Linked DNA regions of Arabidopsis thaliana. The protein of the gene in region 4 purifies or fractionates together with the protein of the main gene of each other region. This does not show direct contact. Each region holds a gene or a part of one and is shown on either strand. Other genes may lie near its edges.

What was found.
Region 1: the proteins of AT1G29965 (region 4) and AT2G32220 fractionate together in Arabidopsis thaliana (co-fractionation; one large-scale study listed by BioGRID). This does not show direct contact.
Region 2: the proteins of AT1G29965 (region 4) and AT1G26880 fractionate together in Arabidopsis thaliana (co-fractionation; one large-scale study listed by BioGRID). This does not show direct contact.
Region 3: the proteins of AT1G29965 (region 4) and RPL34 fractionate together in Arabidopsis thaliana (co-fractionation; one large-scale study listed by BioGRID). This does not show direct contact.

Annotation. Positions count from the first base shown.
Region 1 is NC_003071.7:13,676,364-13,680,610, reverse strand, and holds AT2G32220 (Ribosomal L27e protein family), read right to left. Parts: upstream 1,702-4,247; 5' UTR 1,667-1,701; coding exon 1,259-1,666; 3' UTR 1,088-1,258; downstream 1-1,087. Other genes in the region: PRORP1 (proteinaceous RNase P 1), read left to right, coding at 1-9, 91-180, 272-453, 553-673, 748-819, 905-1,003; AT2G32210 (cysteine-rich/transmembrane domain A-like protein), read right to left, coding at 2,057-2,102, 2,218-2,356, 2,504-2,534; AT2G32200 (cysteine-rich/transmembrane domain A-like protein), read right to left, coding at 3,572-3,620, 3,751-3,898, 4,027-4,159.
Region 2 is NC_003070.9:9,314,050-9,319,438, forward strand, and holds AT1G26880 (Ribosomal protein L34e superfamily protein), read right to left. Parts: upstream 2,832-5,389; 5' UTR 2,633-2,831; coding exon 2,554-2,632; intron 2,431-2,553; coding exon 2,351-2,430; intron 2,113-2,350; exon of another isoform or gene 1,966-2,112; intron 1,881-1,965; coding exon 1,771-1,880; coding exon of another isoform or gene 1,749-1,770; exon of another isoform or gene 1,685-1,748; coding exon 1,591-1,684; 3' UTR 1,256-1,590; downstream 1-1,255. Other genes in the region: FEZ (NAC (No Apical Meristem) domain transcriptional regulator superfamily protein), read left to right, coding at 170-934; AT1G26890 (FBD, F-box and Leucine Rich Repeat domains containing protein), read left to right, coding at 3,540-4,328, 4,395-4,604, 4,683-4,820, 4,907-5,029.
Region 3 is NC_003070.9:26,187,113-26,192,433, reverse strand, and holds RPL34 (ribosomal protein L34), read right to left. Parts: upstream 2,660-5,321; 5' UTR 2,535-2,659; coding exon 2,456-2,534; intron 2,358-2,455; coding exon 2,278-2,357; intron 2,138-2,277; exon of another isoform or gene 2,000-2,137; intron 1,832-1,999; exon of another isoform or gene 1,749-1,831; intron 1,638-1,748; coding exon 1,528-1,637; intron 1,444-1,527; coding exon 1,353-1,443; 3' UTR 1,030-1,352; downstream 1-1,029. Other genes in the region: AT1G69630 (F-box/RNI-like superfamily protein), read left to right, coding at 1-201, 281-421, 522-794; AT1G69610 (zinc finger FYVE domain protein, putative (DUF1666)), read right to left, coding at 3,085-3,345, 3,438-3,664, 3,745-4,146, 4,376-5,241.
Region 4 is NC_003070.9:10,496,889-10,501,520, forward strand, and holds AT1G29965 (Ribosomal protein L18ae/LX family protein), read right to left. Parts: upstream 2,575-4,632; 5' UTR 2,486-2,574; coding exon 2,471-2,485; intron 2,357-2,470; coding exon 2,241-2,356; intron 2,146-2,240; coding exon 2,082-2,145; intron 1,912-2,081; coding exon 1,570-1,911; 3' UTR 1,422-1,569; downstream 1-1,421. Other genes in the region: AGL64 (AGAMOUS-like 64), read left to right, coding at 1-399; RPL18AA (60S ribosomal protein L18A-1), read right to left, coding at 1,570-1,911, 2,082-2,145, 2,241-2,356, 3,232-3,346, 3,931-4,006, 4,116-4,166, 4,249-4,423.

The DNA.
Region 1 (4,247 bases), on a different chromosome or scaffold from region 4:
CAGTTTCAGGTAACAATTATTGTCTAAAAGATTGTATTAAAACTATCTAAAAGAAAACCTGAGAAATGTGTTGTTGTTTTTTGCTTGCAGGAATGGCTGGAAAGACATGGACCGTTTGATGCAGTCATTGATGGAGCCAACATGGGCTTAGTCAACCAGCGCAGTTTCAGCTTCTTCCAGGTGGTTTTGACTCTTTCTCATTCTAATGCCAATCTCAAGAACCATTGTTTGACTACTTTATCTAATGCGACTCTTTATCTCTCCCCACTAGCTTAACAACACTGTCCAAAGATGCCAACAAATAAGCCCGTCGAAAAGGTTACCACTTGTGATCCTGCACAAGAGTCGTGTAAATGGAGGTCCAGCTACATACCCTAAAAACAGAGCCTTGCTAGAGAAATGGAAAAACGCTGGTGCTCTCTATGCTACCCCTCCTGGCTCAAACGATGATTGGTATTTGCATTTGCCTTTTTTTCTGGGTCTATGAATTACATTGACCATGAATAATCCAAAAAAGACAACCATTTCTTATGTGAAATCAAATTGTTCTAGGTATTGGCTTTACGCTGCGGTAAGTTGCAAATGTTTGTTAGTAACAAACGATGAGATGAGAGACCATCTCTTCCAGTTACTTGGAAATAGTTTCTTCCCAAGGTGGAAAGAGAAGCATCAGGTAACATATAATATAAGAGTCTATGTAATGTATATACATAAGCTTTTGATTGATACTGGATTCAATGTTTGCAGGTTCGGATCTCTGTCACTAGAGAAGATGGACTCAAACTTAATATGCCACCTCCATACTCCATTGTTATACAGGTCAACACTCACATTTCTATGTCCATCTCAATGTTTTCGTATGCATTTTGCATTAATGATGATGATTGATTGATGAATGATGCAGGAGTCTGAAGATGGAACCTGGCATGTACCAATGAGCGTAGAAGATGATCTCCAAACATCAAGGCAATGGTTATGCGCAAAAAGATCCAAAACACCTTGAATTTTTTTAATCCTTGTTGTATCATCTGACATTGATTCTTCATTTCTTAATAAATTTGTGTTTCATTAACCACAAGATTGAAAGAAATGTCTCACAATGAAGAGTTACTAGAAAGATTAAAACTTTAACCATCAAAATTGAATATATATTACTGAAATTTAGAACAAAACATAACCTTGAGCTAAACCAGAAGCAAAAACAATTCATGGTAGATAAAAATTGAAACTTTAAAACTAAAATTAAAAACTGTAGAATTCAAAACCTAAGCTTGGTGAAGAACCATCTGTTCTTGCCAGTCTTAAACCTCTCTTCAAACTTCGCCTTCGCTTCCTTAAGAGCCGTCACTTTCTTATCCTTGGACGAGATCGCGTCGGCGGAGACAACGTTCTTCAGATCCAAATCAAGAGTGTAGCGCGTAGGCATCACGTGCTGGTAATTGATGACCTTGAAGAAGCATTTCACGCGCGATTTCTTAGCCGTCTTCTTTGCCGAATCCTTGCGAATGACTTTGCTTGGGTACTTCTTCAATCCGGCGACGAGACAGTGACCGTACTTCTTCTCAACGGTACCGTCATCGAAGGATTTCACGATCACCGCCTTTTTACCGGTGTATCGTCCTTGTAAAAGGATCACGGCTTTTCCTGGCTTCATACATTTCACCATTGTCACTCTCTTCTCTGTCTTTCTCTCGGCGCTTCCTTGGATTCTAGGGCTTTATCGGGAGATATTTATACGCATCGATTTGTTCATTATTTGCATTCTAACCCCAAGAGTTTTAATTGTTTATAACTTTGGCTTATATAGTGTTATTAAATTGATTTTAAGTCCACGTTGACTAACCGGTAATAAAGTCAAAAATGTGAATCTAGCGTGGTTTAGAAGATGTCTAAGAGAAAACAAACGATATATTAAGAATTTATAAAATTACACAATGCAAAAGAAAGAGTGATATAGAAATGAATTAACAAATAGAAGTACCAAATGTCATAAACCTAGTCGAATCATTTTGGTAAAGCAAAATACAAAGATAATCAAAATAAACCATCTAAGTCTTCAGAAGCATGCGTCGAGGACACAACAACAACACATGGCCGCAAGACTGCATTCAAAAAATGAAAGAAAACAAATTAATCAATGCAACACACGATAACCGAACCGGTTTGATAGTTAACCAAACGTGCATGCCTGGTTTATACTAGAAAAAGAAGACTAACCAGCCTTTTAAGAATCCATCACCCTTGGACTTTGTCTCCACCGTTGCCACCGTGGCATGACTTGTGTCGTTCGTTGGGTAACCTAGCGGTGGCGGTGCCACGTAAGGGCCGGTAGACACTGGCGGCGTAGGATAAGCTCCTATAAGTTATTCATATTTCACATTAGTCTTATTACCATTTAAAAAAGTACTTACTACTATGAAACTGCAAATATGATTATAACCATGAGAATATTGACTAAACATATGGTCTGATGCTAAATTAGTACGAAGAAAAGAATACAAACCTGAAGATTGGTTTTGGCTGTATTGACTCATCTTGGAACAGATAGATTGTGATTTCTCTTTGAAAACAAGTTAGAAGAAAGTAGTAACAAATGTAGAGAGGTGTATGATTATGAAATGAATTGAAATATGCAAATGAAGATAGAGATATATATATAGAGAGGTAAGGGAAGTAAACGAAGGTCGGTTTAGTAAAACCGCGTGAGGTCAAAAAAAAAAAACGCGTGAGGTCAGATTGCATTAACTGCTAAGTCTCCAGAAATTTATTCTCTTGAAGAATAACAATGTGTTGATTTTTTCTCTTAATAAATATCAACAAAAAGGTAAGATGCTATCGATTTGGTCTTTTAATTCGTTGTTCTCTATTTACAAAAGTATACGAATTAGAGAACCTTATATATAGAATATGTAAAATGATGATAAATGCAGCATGGTTTTATATTTTTCTTGATTTAGTAATAATAAAGAGTTTTTTTATTCTTTCTCAAAGCAAAAAGTGTACTTCTTTCTCCATGGGAATATTTACATGTTAAGCAAAAGAGAGAACAATAATTAACGCTTATATTAACTAATAAAAACTAACAAAAGTAGATCAGAATATATATGTTATTAGAAGTTATGTTTTACACAAACGGATCTTAGATAATAGTTTGAACCATAATAATTTTACTTGAATCGCTTTATCTCGTCCAAAGTGCGTGTTGTTATTAGAGTAAAACTTTATTTTCGAGAGAGCACATGAAAGTTTTCTTATGAAGAAGAATAATTGCTGGTTTCAAATTAGGTGGGAATATAAACGCAAAATGTGATTTAATTTAGCGTATCTAAATCTAATTCCAGAAATTTAAATGAACAACAATTGACAGTTTTGGGCACAAAGTAGAATAAATTTTACTATTACAAACTAAGTTGTAATAAAATAAAAAAAGTAGTAATAAATAATTAAATCAACAAATAGGAGGTCCAAATGTTATAAGCTAATCGAATCCCAAAAACTACTTGCAAAATACAATGAAAAATATTTGCATGAAGTGTCAAATTTAATAAACAATCGACTGCTTCCTCCGAACTCAGAAAATGCATGCGTCGAGGACGCAACAGGCCAACATGGTCGCAAGACTGCATTTAACAAAAAAAAAAACAATAACTTATCAAACGTGCGGTCCCGGTTACGTTGAGCCACAATAACAAATTGTCCTAAAATTTTCCAAAGGATTGGAAAAAAAGAAAAGAAAAAAGAGAGACTAACCAGCCTTTCAAGAATCCATCAGCAGCTTCACCTTTAGACTTTGTCTCGACAGGAGCCACCGTAGCATGAGTCGTGTCGTTCGTTGGGTAACCGAGCGGTGGCGGTGCCACGTATGGACCGGTAGACACTGGCGGCGTAGGATAAGCTCCTAATTATACATATTTGACATTAGTTTTGTTACCATAAAACTCTAGAAATATGATGTATGACGAGATTGATGAACGATGATACATGATCATGATGCTTAATTTGTAGGGACTCAAAAAACAAACAAACCTGCATATTGGTTTTGACTGTATTGGCTCATATTCGAACAGATTATGATTTTTCTTTGAAAATGTAGATGAAAATGGTATGTAGATGTGTATGATATATGGATTGATATTTGCAAACGAAGATATATAGTCATGTAAGGGAAGAACCAAAGAAGGTCGGTTTTAGTAGAACCGCGTGAGCGCAGATAACAGTCATTGTTAGTCTCCAGAAATTTATTATTC
Region 2 (5,389 bases), 1.2 Mb from region 4:
ACTAATCTTTCTTTTAATAAGTATGTTTATTCAAACAATTTCTCAAAAGTAAAATATAAAATAATTAAATAAACAAAGTGCAAATATTATTTTGAAATTAGTGGACTTCTATTTTCTATAAATTAAACTCATTTGTTATTAACATTTTGAATGATATGGACCACTGCAGGATTCATGGGCTATATGCAGAATCTTCAAAAAGACCAACACAACGACCCTAAGAGCTCTCTCTCACTCTTTTGTTTCCTCGTTACCACCAGAAACAAGCACCGACACAATGTCTAACCAAAAGCAATCAAACACATACCATTTTTCTTCAGACAAGATCCTCAAACCTAGCTCTCACTTCCAGTTTCACCATGAGAATATGAACACTCCCAAAACTAGTAATAGTACAACTCCATCCGTTCCCACTATAAGTCCCTTCTCTTACTTGGATTTCACTTCATACGACAAACCCACCAACGTTTTCAATCCGGTTTCATGTTTAGACCAACAATACCTCACAAATCTCTTTCTTGCCACACAAGAAACACAACCTCAGTTTCCCAGGCTCCCCTCGTCAAATGAAATCCCATCGTTTCTGCTAAACACGTCTTCAGATTCGACCTTCTTGGGAGAATTCACGAGCCATATCGACCTCAGCGCAGTGTTGGCCCAAGAGCAATGTCCCCCGCTTGTAAGCCTACCACAGGAGTATCAAGAGACGGGATTCGAAGGAAATGGTATAATGAAGAACATGCGTGGTTCCAATGAAGATCATCTTGGTGATCATTGCGACACACTTCGGTTTGATGATTTCACTTCAACAATTAATGAGAACCATCGTCATCATCAAGACCTGAAACAGAACATGACATTGCTGGAGAGTTATTATTCTTCTTTATCGTCCATCAATAGCGATTTGCCAGCTTGTTTCTCCAGTACAACCTGATGTATGTGGATAGATTTTCCCATCTCTGCCTTCTTGGCTTGCTTTTTTCAAGCTAGGGTATTTCCTCTTTGTAGGCTTTCTCTTTCACTAAATTAAATCGTTTATTAATTATGCTTCCTTGAGTTTTTATTTTTCACAAGCAACTTTGCTTTAATGAAGAAGGCATGAGGTAAGTCAAGATGAACAAGAGAAAAACTGAATCGAGTTTTACTATATTCAAAATAAAGACCAGTAAGTATATTATTTCTGGAGCTGACTTCATTAATCGCATACGAGACTGTCGTTGTAGAATTCCCAAAAATTGAAGCATAGTTAAGATTTAAGACTCAAAATTGCTATTCCATAGTTGTGTCATGACGCTGAGAACATTAAAGTGCAAGCTTGATTTAGCCTCCGAGAGATTCAGAAATATTATATTAACCAAGAAGGTAATCACAACAGCTTATGTGATATGCATCAACAATAGAACATTAAAGATGAATTCAACAATTCCAAAACTGAAGAGAAGAGAATTGTCGACAAAGTTAAGAACTGATAACAGAATACAAAGCTTAAAAATTGGTCGAGTAACATAGATGTCCTCACATGACTGCACCAAGTCCTATCACTTGAACATAGCCATAATTCCAAAACAGAGAAGAATAAAACATAAAAGCTTAAGCCTTGGGGGCTACTTTCTCCTTAGCCTTTTGGAGTTTCAACACTTTCTTCACAATCTTTTGCTCTTCGACAAGGAATGCCCGAATGATCCTGTCGGAATCCAAAAACAACATTACGTTAAAGAACACCAAATTTATTGTAATAGAAAGATGACTCAAGTAAGATGGACAACAAACCTTTCCCTGACTGCAGAACCAGACAAGACTCCACCGTATGCTCGGTTTACAGTCCTCCTGTTTCTTGATAATCTTGACCTCTTGTACTCAGAGGGCCTCAAGTGAGGGATCTGAATAAACAAACAAAGTTATTCACATAATGCAAAAGGAATATGCCATTGCATAATCAAACATATATAGTTGGGAATAAACTGAAAATTTATGCCAAAGGTGGATAGCAAATCCTTATGTAATACAAGGAACAACTTGAAAGACAAAGTGGCACCGACAATTTAGCTTATGATTTATGTTATGTACTGATGTGGGATTTATCTAATCAGCACAAGACCGTCAATAAGCACAATACTATTAACTAAGTAACATGGTTTCTTGAAATAAGAAGACATGCCCATTAAAAATGAGACTGATCAATACTCAAAACATTCTAAAACACTCAATCTGATTGATTTGGTTATACATAGCCATCAAATTCCTAAAAAATTCAAACTCTTAACTCTATCTAGACCTCAAATCAAGACTCTAGATACAAGAACCATGTAAACCAAATCACACGAAGCCAAATCGAAATCAGAAGACTTACTCCTTGAATACGCTTGCCAGTAACAGGACATTTGGGGCCACTAGCTCTCTTCTTTGTGGTTTGATACACCAATTTACCTCCTGAAATCAACAATCCCAACACACATTACACTATGAAGAACAGATCGGTGATTAGAGAATTATGAGACTAAAGCAGAGGAGATTGAAGATATCAAGGAAGAAGAAGAAGAAGAAGAAAGGGACCTGGAGTCTTGACGATACGGTGCTGGTTCGATTTGGTGGCGTAGCTGTGTCGCGACCGGTAAACAAGACGCTGCACCATTTTCGCCTCCTTTTCTCTTTTAGGGTTTTCGTTTGGAACGAAGAATATAAGGGTGAGACTCCAAACCTAAACTAAGACTACAACTATATGGGCCTTTTCTCATTTTGGTCTTTAATTATGCTCCAGTTAAAGGCCCATGTACAAATAATTAAAAAAAATTCAACTTGTAAAAACCAATTCTATTATTAGCTGCAATTAGAATAAGTATCGTTTGTATGTTGTAGTGAACAGAAACTAGAAACATTATTACCAATTTTTATTTTGATTTTTTAAGAAATCATAGATGCATTAAATTATACGTAGAACTTTAAAAAGATTAATTAGTATTATAATCCGTTTAGTCAAAACACATTCAATTTATTTTATCAAATAGTGTAACAACAAAAAATTTAAATTCATGGCACGTAAAAACATAATCGATACATTTACAAGGGCGTGGTGCAAGCAATTAGAGCAAGCCAAGTAGAGAAATTAATCAAGGTTGGCGGCAAAATTGGGAATTGGAAAATAAATTCATCCAAAATAACAAATGGAAATATAAGGACCAGGCTAGAAAATTTGGATTTTCAACAATTTTGTTTGGTTTGATGATTAGATTTTTAAGGGAAAAAACTAACAATTATGTAAGAATGAGAATCGATTGATATATTTTATGTGTGTCTATATTGCAGTTTTACTTTAAAAATTGGGCAACTTTAATTTAGTTTCTTTTTTTATATGCATTAATAATATATATATATATATATATATATATTTTTTTTTTTTTTTCTTTGAACAAATAATAAATATTTGTATAATAATTGTTTTTTTTTGAAAAAAAGCTTTATAATATAGACTCACTTTTGTGTCACAGCCAGCGACGAGAAAAAAGTTCCATTGGCGTCTAGCTAGGTATCCGGTATCCCACATGGCCACATCTATGGGTTGCTTAAGTTGTTGGTCTTTTTTTTGGGATATTATACACGACGATGAGCATATATCAACTGTTCCAGAAACCGAAAGTTGTCAGATAAACGAAACTAGAATCTGTGCTTTTCCTAACGATTTGCTCTTGCAGATCTTGCATCACGTCCCAACAAAAGAGGCAGTCGCCACTTCAATCTTGTCTAAACGATGGCGTTATGTCTGGCCGATGGTGCCTAGACTCGAATTCAAAGAAGATGACAGCGAGAGCGTGGGGTGGTTTATTGAAAAGTCATTGCAACTCCATAAGGCACCGAAACTAGATAGTTTGGTTGTGGAACTCGGTCCACATTGTCCTGTTGACGTAGATGTCGGAAAGTGGGTTGAGAACGTAGTTAATAGAGGTGTGAAAGAGTTAGATTTCAATCTCCTCTGGACCGCAGAACCCACAGGATTTCCTAAGTGCCTTTACACATGCAACACGCTCGTTGATTTAAGTCTATCCAACAAGATTCTAGTGAACGTTTCTTCCCCTGTTCGCCTACCATCTCTCTTAACTCTGAGTCTTCGCTTTGTGGTGTACAAAGACGAAGAATCTCTTGTTAGCCTTTTATCAAGCTCCCCTGTTCTCAACTGCCTGAAGGTGGATCGACATAAGGATGACAACTTGACAAAATTTACCGTGAAAGTATCTACCTTGAAACAGTTACATTATAATACTACTCGGCGGAAGGATGGGGTAGAGGATGAGGAAGACGTGGTAGAGGAAAATGAGGTAGAGGATGATGATGATGTAGATGAGGTAGAGGATGATGAGGAAGGTGTGGTTGAGGAAGTTGACGTAGGTGAGGTAGAGGAGGATGATGATGATGATCTCAATAGATCCTTGGTAATAGATTCCCCTGCATTAGAAATTTTACGCTTACGTAACGTTTTGGACTATTGCTTGATAGAGAATATTTCTTGCCTTCATATAGCAAAACTCGGCTATGTTCATAACCCCGATCACAAGTTTCTGAGATCTCTTTCTTCTGTCATACATATGTACTTGTATTTGACCAAGCCAATGGTACCGATTACATATCTCCGATCCTCTTCTTTTCCTTGTTGCTTAGCCAACTAATGTTATATTTTTTTTTAATCACAGGTTGCGTGGTGTAACACCATCAAGTTCTCTCGGCTCTTGGAGTTTTATTTTGTTCCAAGCAATTTGGTAGATTGGTTGGAACCACTTATGTATTTGCTTCAAAATTCTCCTAAACTACAAATTCTTACGATTGACACTGTAAGTATACCATCCTCCTCCCCTTAAACACAAGTGCATCTAGTTTATAGATGAACTTAACATTATAGCAAATGTATTGATATCAGGATTCTACGTGTCTCCCACCTTCATGGAACCAGCCGAGTTCTTCTACTATTCCCGAATGCTTGTTGTCTCATTTACAGATCTTTAGGTGGGGAGGCTATGGAGGAAGAGAAGATGAGAAATAACTAATGACATACATTCTCGCTAACTCAAAGTGTTTAAAGAGAGTGGCGATCTTTCTCTTAGCAACCTGCAATCTTGAAGAGACACAAATGGAGTTAGAATCTATGCCTAGGAACTCAACATCATCTCAACTTCTAACCTCCTCCCATAAAATGAATATGTTTAACTAGGTACGCTATCATTTCATGATTTCATTCACTTGAACTATTAGGTTATGAGTTCAACCAATAGAGTTTCATATATATTCTTTCTTTCTTTTTTAACAGCATCATGACAACAATTGAGTAGCCACATACTGACTGTCTAAGATTATGATCCATCATGCCCAAAGCCAGCAACAACCATCATGTTATTAACAATTG
Region 3 (5,321 bases), about 16 Mb from region 4:
AGGCTAAGTGATCATCGAGTTGCAAGTTTTATACTTAATAAACCCGGTAAGCTTGTCAAAGCGGATATCGATATTGTGTTTAACTTGAGTTCCGTGAATAAGTTTAATCCAGATGATCTACCAAAGAGAACTATGATACGTAATTTTCTCCTCGGCATCTCTACTATTAAAGATATGATCATTTTTTCGAGTACTCTTGAGGTACACTACAATGTTGAATTTGCTATTTGATTGAATGTGTAACTTTATTCTTTCCTGATACTTTTTTTTTTCCTTACAGGTTATCTATGATTTCTCAAGATGTGAACGACTACCCTTATTCCGTAACCTATCTGTCTTGTGTGTTGAGTTTTACGGCTACATGTGGGAAATGTTGCCAATCTTTCTTGAGAGCTGCCCGAATCTAAAAACTCTTGTCGTGGTGAGTATTGTCTATTGAACCATGAAATTCTTATTAAGATGCAAAATGGTGAAAGTTTATCATATCTTGAACTTGTGTTTCTTTCACTCGGTATATGCAGAAATCTGCTAGTTATCAGGAGAAGGGAGAAAATATTATTTTGCCGGGACCTAGGCGTTTCCTATCATCTCTCGAGTATGTTAAGATAGAAAGGCCATTGAAAGGAGAGGCGATGGAGATGAAACTAGTGAGTTACTTACTTGAGAATTCAACCATCCTCAAGAAACTGACCCTATGCTTGGATGATTCCGTGAAGAAAGAAGATTCTGTCATCCTAAAAGAACTCCTTGCCATTCCAAGACTCTCTACATCATCCAAAGTTGTCGTTCTCTGATGATCCTCGTAGTCATCACCAATAAACGTACAAGGTTGTTGTCTCTAAGTACTTAGTTAATACGAATTCTCTGTTTTCTTTTAGTTTGTGATGATATTGAAGTGCTTAAGTTCGTAAACGAATCATGTTTTTGGCACAAATCAATCAGTATCACTCCATCGTGGCAAAGATATGCTTTGGGAGATGTTAAGAAAGAACGCTACTAAATTTGGTGGGGGTTAAAATAAACGAGGCCAAAGAAATTTGCACAACCATCTATTATAGATAATCACTCATGTAACAAATATTGCAGAAGTTAAAGTTTTAGGCTCAAAAGAGAAAAAAAGAGTATAAATCATTTGTAACCAATAGGAAGTTTCGGGGGTAAGAATTGAAAACGTGAAATGTGAACTCAACATGAACAAGAAACGAAAACCGAAACGAATTGTAGACAGAGCCAAAGATCCAAAACCAATACAAAAAAGCTTAAATTTTTTGATGAGTACACAATGTTTTTCTCTGCAACCAGTACTATCGCTAGAACAGAGCCATAAAACATAAAAACTAATAGGGTCTAGATCACTTGGGAGCAACCTTTTCCTTTGCCTTCTGAAGCTTCAAAACCTTCTTCACAATCTTTTGCTCCTCCACAAGGAAGGCACGAATGATTCTGTAACACACAAGAACAACCATTAAGATTTGTCTTTGGTTACAAAGGCACAAAGCAAATACAAAATTGAACTCAAGAACGAACCTTTCCCTAACAGCAGAACCAGACAAAACCCCACCATAAGCACGGTTCACGGTCCTCCTGTTTCTTGATAAACGTGACCTCTTGTACTCAGTTGGCCTCAAGTGAGGAATCTAAACAACCAAAGAGATATAAATTAGATGCTGAAGGAAAATGGCTGAAACAACTCCATCAACTTTAAGATTACTGTAAACCAAACTATGAACAATTTACAAGATGTTTGAAGATTTATGCCACCAAGTATAAAAGTGATTCCTTACATACAAAAGGAGAAAACTTGAAAAGACAAGGCGGCACTAAATTTAGCTTATGATAAAGTTATGTACTGGTGTGGATTAATCTTAACCAGCACAAGACCGTCAATAAGCACAAGAAGAAATCAATACAATACAGAATCTAAAACTAATACAATTTACCATCAAGATGGCAAAACAAACAAATCTAAACCTAGTGAAAAGTTTCCAAGATGATTTACCTATTTCTGCCACCAAGATTAAAGCTTACTCCACAGAGAAAACTTGAAAAAGACAAAGCGGCACTACATTTAGCTTATGATAAAGTTATCTACTGATGTTGAATTCATCTAACCAGCACAAGACCGTCAATAAGCACAAACAAACCAAACCTAAACTACTACATTTGCATCAATCAATAGAATAACCTCAAAACAATCAAATGGGTCAATCCAAAATCAAACAAAGTATGTAACTTTAGACTCAAATCGGAGAGAATATGAATCTGAAGAATACTAACACCCTGAATACGCTTGCCGGTAACGGGACATTTAGGTCCACTAGCTCTCTTCTTAGTGGTCTGGTACGTCAATTTACCTCCTGCAAATCATCAATACGTCAATACATTTCAAATCTTATAGATCCATGGATACAGATTTGTGAATTTCAGCATATGCGATTGAAGAAACAGAACAGACCTGGAGTTTTGACGATCCTGTGCTGGTTGGATTTGGTGGCGTAACTGTGTCGTGATCGGTAAACAAGGCGCTGCACCATTTTCGCTTCTCTCTGTCTCACTCACCCTAGGGTTTTTATCCTCCTCAGCTTGACGGAGCAGAGAAGAGACTTTATAAGCTATATTATCTTTATATAGGGTCTTTTTTCACTTCAACACCTAAAGCCCTAGATCGGACGGTTCAGATTACATATTGACTTATGATCATCAATGGACGACATTTTATGGGCTTGTTAATGCTTACATAATAATCCAAATATGACTTGGCCCAAAGGCCCATCTTTCGAACGTTTGTCTTTTCTTTAATTATTCATTAATCAGTAATCACTAGTTCAACAACGTTCAAGAAGATTTGTGTTCATGTACCAAATGTTAATCAACTTTACTTCTAGTTCTCAAAATGTTCTTCGAGGTGATTCCAGATGTTGTGGTGATTAGAGGAGAAAGAAAAACGCTAAGCTACCACATATCATTCATTAGATATACTATTGTTCTCAGGAAGATATGAACAACAACAAAAAGACATCTTCCTGGATCTGATGAAGCCATATTGTTCCAACATCTATGATCTAATCTATACGCAGAGATGGCTCAACAAGGTAACAACGAGAAATATGGTTCCATATGAATCTTCCGACCGTTGAAGCTGATCTTTTCAAGTTTCTCCTGACACCAATGTAACTTCTCAGTAGTAAGTTTCGACATGTACATCACTCTTGAAACCAGTCTCAGTTCAATTTTAGCTATTAGTAATTCATCCTTCACACCAATACTACTCTTTGATTCATTCTTCTTTAACTTCTTCACTATACAGCTTTGGCTTCTTTGTATTTCCTTTAGCTTCTTCTCTTTCTACATTAGGCCAAGAACAGGTTCTTGAGTGAATTGTTAAACATTGATGTAATCTGACAAAATGAGAGCAAGAATTTGAAGTTTTTAAATACCTTTTGGAGATGAGTTCTGATATCTGTCAAGAGCTCAAGGTCTAAAGAATCCTGTGGAGAGACTTGAGTTTGGTGAGAAACTTTCATCATTGAAGTAAACTCGTCTTTGTCTGCACAAAGAAACTCCCAGAAAACACTCATCGACTCTCGGATAATCTCTCTCAACATTTCAGTCTTTACCGCGAATTCTCCTTCATATCTACATTTCTTCTTCGAAGAACGGTCATCTGAAAACTTTGCAGATTATGGTATTAGCAAGAAAGGTTCAGTATATACTATAAAGAATAATGAAAACATGTTTTGTTACCTCTAACAAGTGGAATCTGAAGGAAATTCTGGAAATGGCGACGGTTCTTTAAGTAAGTCTCAACTCTAGAGGAGTTCTGAAACGGTTCATTCTCCACAAACCGTTGAAGCAGAACTTGGAATAACTGAAACTCTCCAGCTACTAAGTTGTATTGATAAGTAGTAACCTGTGAATCAAATTCCAAGACTTTGTCGTATTGCCATCGAAGCATCTCCCACGAGAGACAAACTTGGCCTACATAGACAGTCTCAAAGTCTCTGCTTGCTTCTTTCACAAGTCTCTCACTCGGGTCACATTCAAGCGTATGTTTCTTGAATGGCCATATATTCTGATGCAGAGACGATTTAGGCGGTTTATCAGTGTTTCTACTAGGTTTAGATGAATCTTTTAGCTTTAGCAAACCTGTTAAATCAAATCCAAAAATGTTAACTATATACTCAACTAACACTTTTGAGTAGTTGAGAAAACATTTAAGAAGGAAAGAGACATTCTTCAACAATATGTCCTCACAATCAAAGTAAAAGCTGGAATCAGACAAAAATTTAAGACTCTGTAGATACGTCATTGCTAATGATGTAATAGTCTGCTAAGAACATTGATTGAAAATTGAATTGAGAATAGATTGACTTACTGATGGAATGCATTGTTTGAGAATCGATGACATCGAGTTTTCGCATTTTAACCGCGTAGTTCTTGTAAACCTTGTGAATTTCAGCAATTCTGTCTTTGTGTTGATCTGGTTTTGGTTCAATCTTGAGTGGTTTCAGCTCTTGTAATGGAGTCTCTGATTCCTCAAGAATAGTGCACAATCCTCCTGTCCTTGCAGTCCTTAATTCTGTTTTCAACTTCTCAATCACATCACTATGCTCAAACTCATCATCATCTGAATCTGAACCATCATCAAACTCATCATATACCTCTTCTTGTTCATCAAAGCCCATTTTCATCTCTTCTTCTCTGTGTATAAACTCTTCTTCTTCTTCTTCTCCATAAGCAAAGTTTGAAATCTGTAAACTTGGGTTTAGTTCTATAAACCCATCATCATCATCAAACAAGTTGTCTTCACCACCAACAAGATTCTCGTGAACCAATGACTCTTTTAAAACACCACAACTCATGAACTCATAAACCAACATCTCTTCTTTCACGTGTTCCTTCATAAAACCATCTGATTCTGATTTCTCCAAAACCATGGAACTCGTTTTTTCATCAGAGAAACTCACCATCTTCTTCTTCTCCTCCTCCTGAACAGTAATAGCAGAATACTCATGAAACTTAAAGCTAAACGCTTTAGGTTCTTCTACAAAACCAACGATACTTTTGTTGTCGGAATAAAACTCGCATCTCTTGCTAATCGAAACCAGAGAGCTTTCCATCTGATCATCGTCTTGTGTTCCACAAATTTGGTTTTGATCTTGATGATCTCCAAAAACAGAGGAATCTTTTGTGTTCTGTTTCTCGAACAAGACCAAGCTTGTCTCTTTGTCTGGATTAACTCTAAATAAAAACAAACCCATTAACCAATAAGAACTCAAAAAAACAGAGAACAAAGAATAATAAAGAAGAAGCAAAAACGT
Region 4 (4,632 bases):
TATTCTTGCTCTGGAAAACCATACACATTCGGCAGTCCGTCCTTCCAAGCCGTGGCAGAGCGGTTTCTCAACGGCGAGGCCTCGTCGTCTTCTTCATCATCGTTGCAACGATCGGTCATGAATGCTCATCAGCAAGCGAAGATTCAAGAGCTTTGCAAAGTATACAATAGATTGGTGGAGGAGATAACGGTGGAAGAAGTCAAATTAAAGAAGACGGCTGCATTGGCGGAGATGATGCCCATGAATGAGGATGCGTGGTGGAAAGTGGATCCAAATGACGTGAAGGATCGCGAAGAGGTGAAGAAGATGATGGAGAAGCATCAAGAGCTCTATGAGAAACTGTGCGAGGAAGCTGCTTCAAGGATCAAGAGAGGACATGATGAGAATAATAACAAATGATCCATAATCAAGATTTTAATTAGTAGATCATTTGTGATCATCACTAGTTAATTATGAGTCTTAAGAATTATGTTTTTTTTTTGTCTTTTGTTTTTTATACATTATGAATTGTTATTATTTTCTACAACATCCAGTCATGGGTTAATGAAACCGAAATATTTTGTTTGAATAGATGTCATCTTTGAGTTTAACAAAATCTTATCAAAACAGAAAGAAAAAAGTATTATGTAGTACTATAATACTCTTCAATTTTTTATTTTTTTTTATCAGGTGAACGACCTGTGTCCCCATGAGAAGTTTCATATACGCTCACAACTCCACAGAATTCGGACCTCGACTCCAATCTACACCAAATGAAAGTTCCAAACCTCAGTTCCCCTAAATCAAAAGTTCAAATCCTCGGTCCACAAAATTTTGAATTTTGTGGTTTATCGTTGGTTTATTGTACCCGTGGAACTGAGGTTTGGAACTTTCATTTGGTGTGGACTAGAGTCGAAGTCTGGATTCTGTAGAATTATGAGCGTATATGAAACTTTCTACGGGGACACAGGTCGTTCACCCTTTTTTATGAAAGATAAGTCATGAAAGATTTTGTAACATATTAAACTGTGTGAAAAATGCTGCTACAAGTATTAAATAAGCCCATATGCTTTTGGCCCATATAGGTTTAGTTGTTTTGTAATTTTTTAGCCTGTCTTCTGATTTTGTTTAGAAGAGGGATAAAGTCATCCAAAGATTGTTCACTCACTTTAGCCGATTAGATTGGTTCGTCCGGGTTTGGTCCTAATGAGCTAGTAGTCTCATATGAGTCGTCTAAACCAAAGCTCTAGTCTTCTTCACGTTGTTCGTTCATTTCATGGTAGATTCTAATTACATTCTTTTAAGAGGATATTAGTTTAAGCTCTAATCGTACCGTATTCATGGATTAAGAAAACATCTACAATGTCCAACAAATTTTAGAACGGGGATCAACGCAGACAATTGGGAAACCTAACTAATAAAAATGAACAAGAAAAGCCAGAATCGAAACCAAGAGAATGAATCATAAAACTTCAAGATTCTACCCACAAAATTTTAAAAAGCCAAAACCAGCAACTTCGATCCCTCAACAAGTATGAAAAGTCAATTACCTTATGAATTTATGATAGAAAAATGAGAGAGCTTCTAGTTCTACATAAACAAGTTAGGCTTGTTGGCCTTGAAGGTAGTCTTGAGCTTTCTGGTGGGAGGTCTAACCTTCCTGAAGACCAACGGGAACTTGATCTTGCTGTTGTGAAACTGCTTCGTGCTTTCCCTCTTGCAGAGAGAGGCTGGGACTGTTGCTGTCTTAATAATCTGAATGCAAGGGAACCTTACTCTGTGTCTTGACGCCATCTCAGTGTACATTTGCTCCACTGCTCCATTCAAAGTAGTGTCACGGTACTCTTTGTACATGTTATGGTAACCTGTACGGCTCTGGTATCTCAACCAGATTCCAAAATTCTTGATCGTTGTTGGGTTCTTCTCAAAGATCTGTCACACCAATTAGTCATTTTAAGAATCAAGCAACACGAACGACAAAATATTTTACAGAATCACAAACACTTTACACAATCAAGTTAAGACCAAATATCTAAAAATGTTCCATAATTCTGAGAGACTACTACCGAGAACAAATCAAATTCAGATCCTACAGCAAGTACCTCGTTGATGGCTAGCATCTGTCCATTACTCTTCTTCACCTTCTTTTGCCTCCTTAAGTAGTACCTGAATTCAAAACACATACATGAAGAAACGATTCAATATCACAACGATTCAAACATCATGAAATTGGTGAGAATTTATGATAAAATTAAACTAACCAGAACTTGGATTTGGCAAGAACCTCGTTCGTTGCCCATAGCTTCATCCTGTAAATCTTTGGTTGCTCATCTTTCTCCGTCGGGAGAGCTCGTCCTACGACTTGGTACTGGTGCAGCTGCAATTACAAAATTCCGATCAGATTTGTCGAAATTAGAAAACGGGAAACATCAATGCGCTAAATTGGAAGGAGGAGAAGCTAAAGCTCCGGCTAGAGTTAACGAGATGTTACCCTGATAACACTCATTTTCGTCCTCCGCCGATGATTGAATCCTCCGATAATCGCAAGCTCTATTCTTGCGGCTTTTTTTTATATATGACCTAGCTAAAAAGAATGAAAATTTTAAACCCTAATCTCAAAAATTTAATACTAGATCCTACAGGCTAAAGCCCATTGGGCCTTTTAAATTTACAACCCACTGCCTATAATTCTCTACAGATTTTTATCAACCATCAATTTTACTGAATTCGGATTTTTTTTCGCTATGATCTATAAATAATAAAGTGTGTTGAGTAGAAGAAGAAAAGCACAAAGAAAGACATGAAAACGTATTTAGCTTTTGGGGAACTTTTTGTGTAGCAATGGTCAAAACAAATCACAAAATATTTTACATATAGATAGATATGCCACCAAGGGAATCAACCACATATATACAATATTTAGTTATGATATAAAATTCAACACAAAGTTACAAATATTTCCCTTCTGTAACTCACTAAAATCAGCAATAACTGGTGTAAATGATATTGATATATATCTACGTTTTCGAGTATATATGTAGATATATATACAAGATTGAGTTTGGTTTTGGCTGGGGAGTAGTTTCACCAGATGTTAATATCCCCAGTCATCCCGAGCATGACGGCAATCAAATAGACAACGGACTGGAAGAATTCATAAAAAGAAAAAGAAATTATGAGAGACAATGATGAATATAGATGAGTGACCAATGCCGTTGTTCTACGACAATGTAATGAGAGAGAGGAACTCACTGCGATTGAACAGGCAACGTAACCAGCTTTCTCGCGGTGATCAACAGATGTGACTAGAACAATAAAAGCACCGAGGTACCAAGGGATCCCACCGAACAAGAAGCCCATGATAAACCTGGGACCATAGACAACAAAAACTTTAATTAGCAACTGGAACGAGTTTCAAGTCACAAGATGTATGCTTTCAGCTTTCTCTCGTTAAACGACAGAATCATATAAGGCGGATTGCACTTGTATCTCCGTGTCAGGGAGTTCATCAAAGTATATCCAGATTGAATGACCAACAAATCCATTTATCGAATATTAGCTAATCTTGATGCTCTTGTAAATCTAAACATTAGTGGATAGAGACAAGCCTCAAGAAGGTTTTACACAGACTTTTTATATTGATTCCAAGAGGCAATCAGTTCATCTAGAATCTCACTCGAAACAAAGAGATTCCAGGAAAGAAGACTCTGTTACAGAATCTAGAGCTAGTTCCACAACGAACTGTCACTTAATACTATCAAAGAAATTGGTTATGATAGCATTCTAAAACCTAAAGATCATAAACCGAGTTTCCAACTACCATAAACCTAAGCTTCTGTAATTTTGATCTTATACATGGAATAAAACAACCAGAAATCAATTGCATTTGGCAATTCAAAACACAGAGAATGGGAATTCGTATTGCGAGACAATGTATAACAAGGAACTTACAGAAACCAGCCCATGCCCAAGCCACAACAAGGAAGTTCATGCTCTATCATTGGTCTCACCTCAACCACTGTATAATCTAAAACAACAATAACCAGAATCATTACTCTCACATCAACAAAAATCTACCCTCAGTATCTGATCAAATTGATATAGAAAAGAAAGAAGATTTTTCCAGAAATGATTACCAGGAACAACAACTGGGAATCCTTGAGCATAATTCACACCACCACCATGACCTAACAATTCCAATCACCAAATAATCACAAATCACAAAGTAATTATCCAAAATTAACAAGAGGGATAGAGAGATTTTAAAACCTTGGAGATTTTGGTAAGCATGTCCAGGAAACGTAGTAATCGGATGCTGTGGTTGCATAAATTGCGGTGGTGGAGTAGGAGTAGGAAAATTCGCAACGCCTTGAAACGTTCCGTAATAGTATTGATGTTGCTGATTCACGGTGGAGTCTCTAGGTTTTGCTGCCTCTTCGTCCATAATTGAGATCCGATTAACCTAAATTTTGCTTCCACACCGGCGTAACGCAGATATCAGAGAATTATCTAGCTCCTCAGCTGCGTTTACCGATGGAGAACGGCGAATTTATCGGCTAGGCAGAGACGAGGAGAAAAGAGACTTGGCGAAGAAAGAGACGACGATGAGGGAAGGAGTCAAAAGACACGGGATAGCTGACCCGGATACTATCC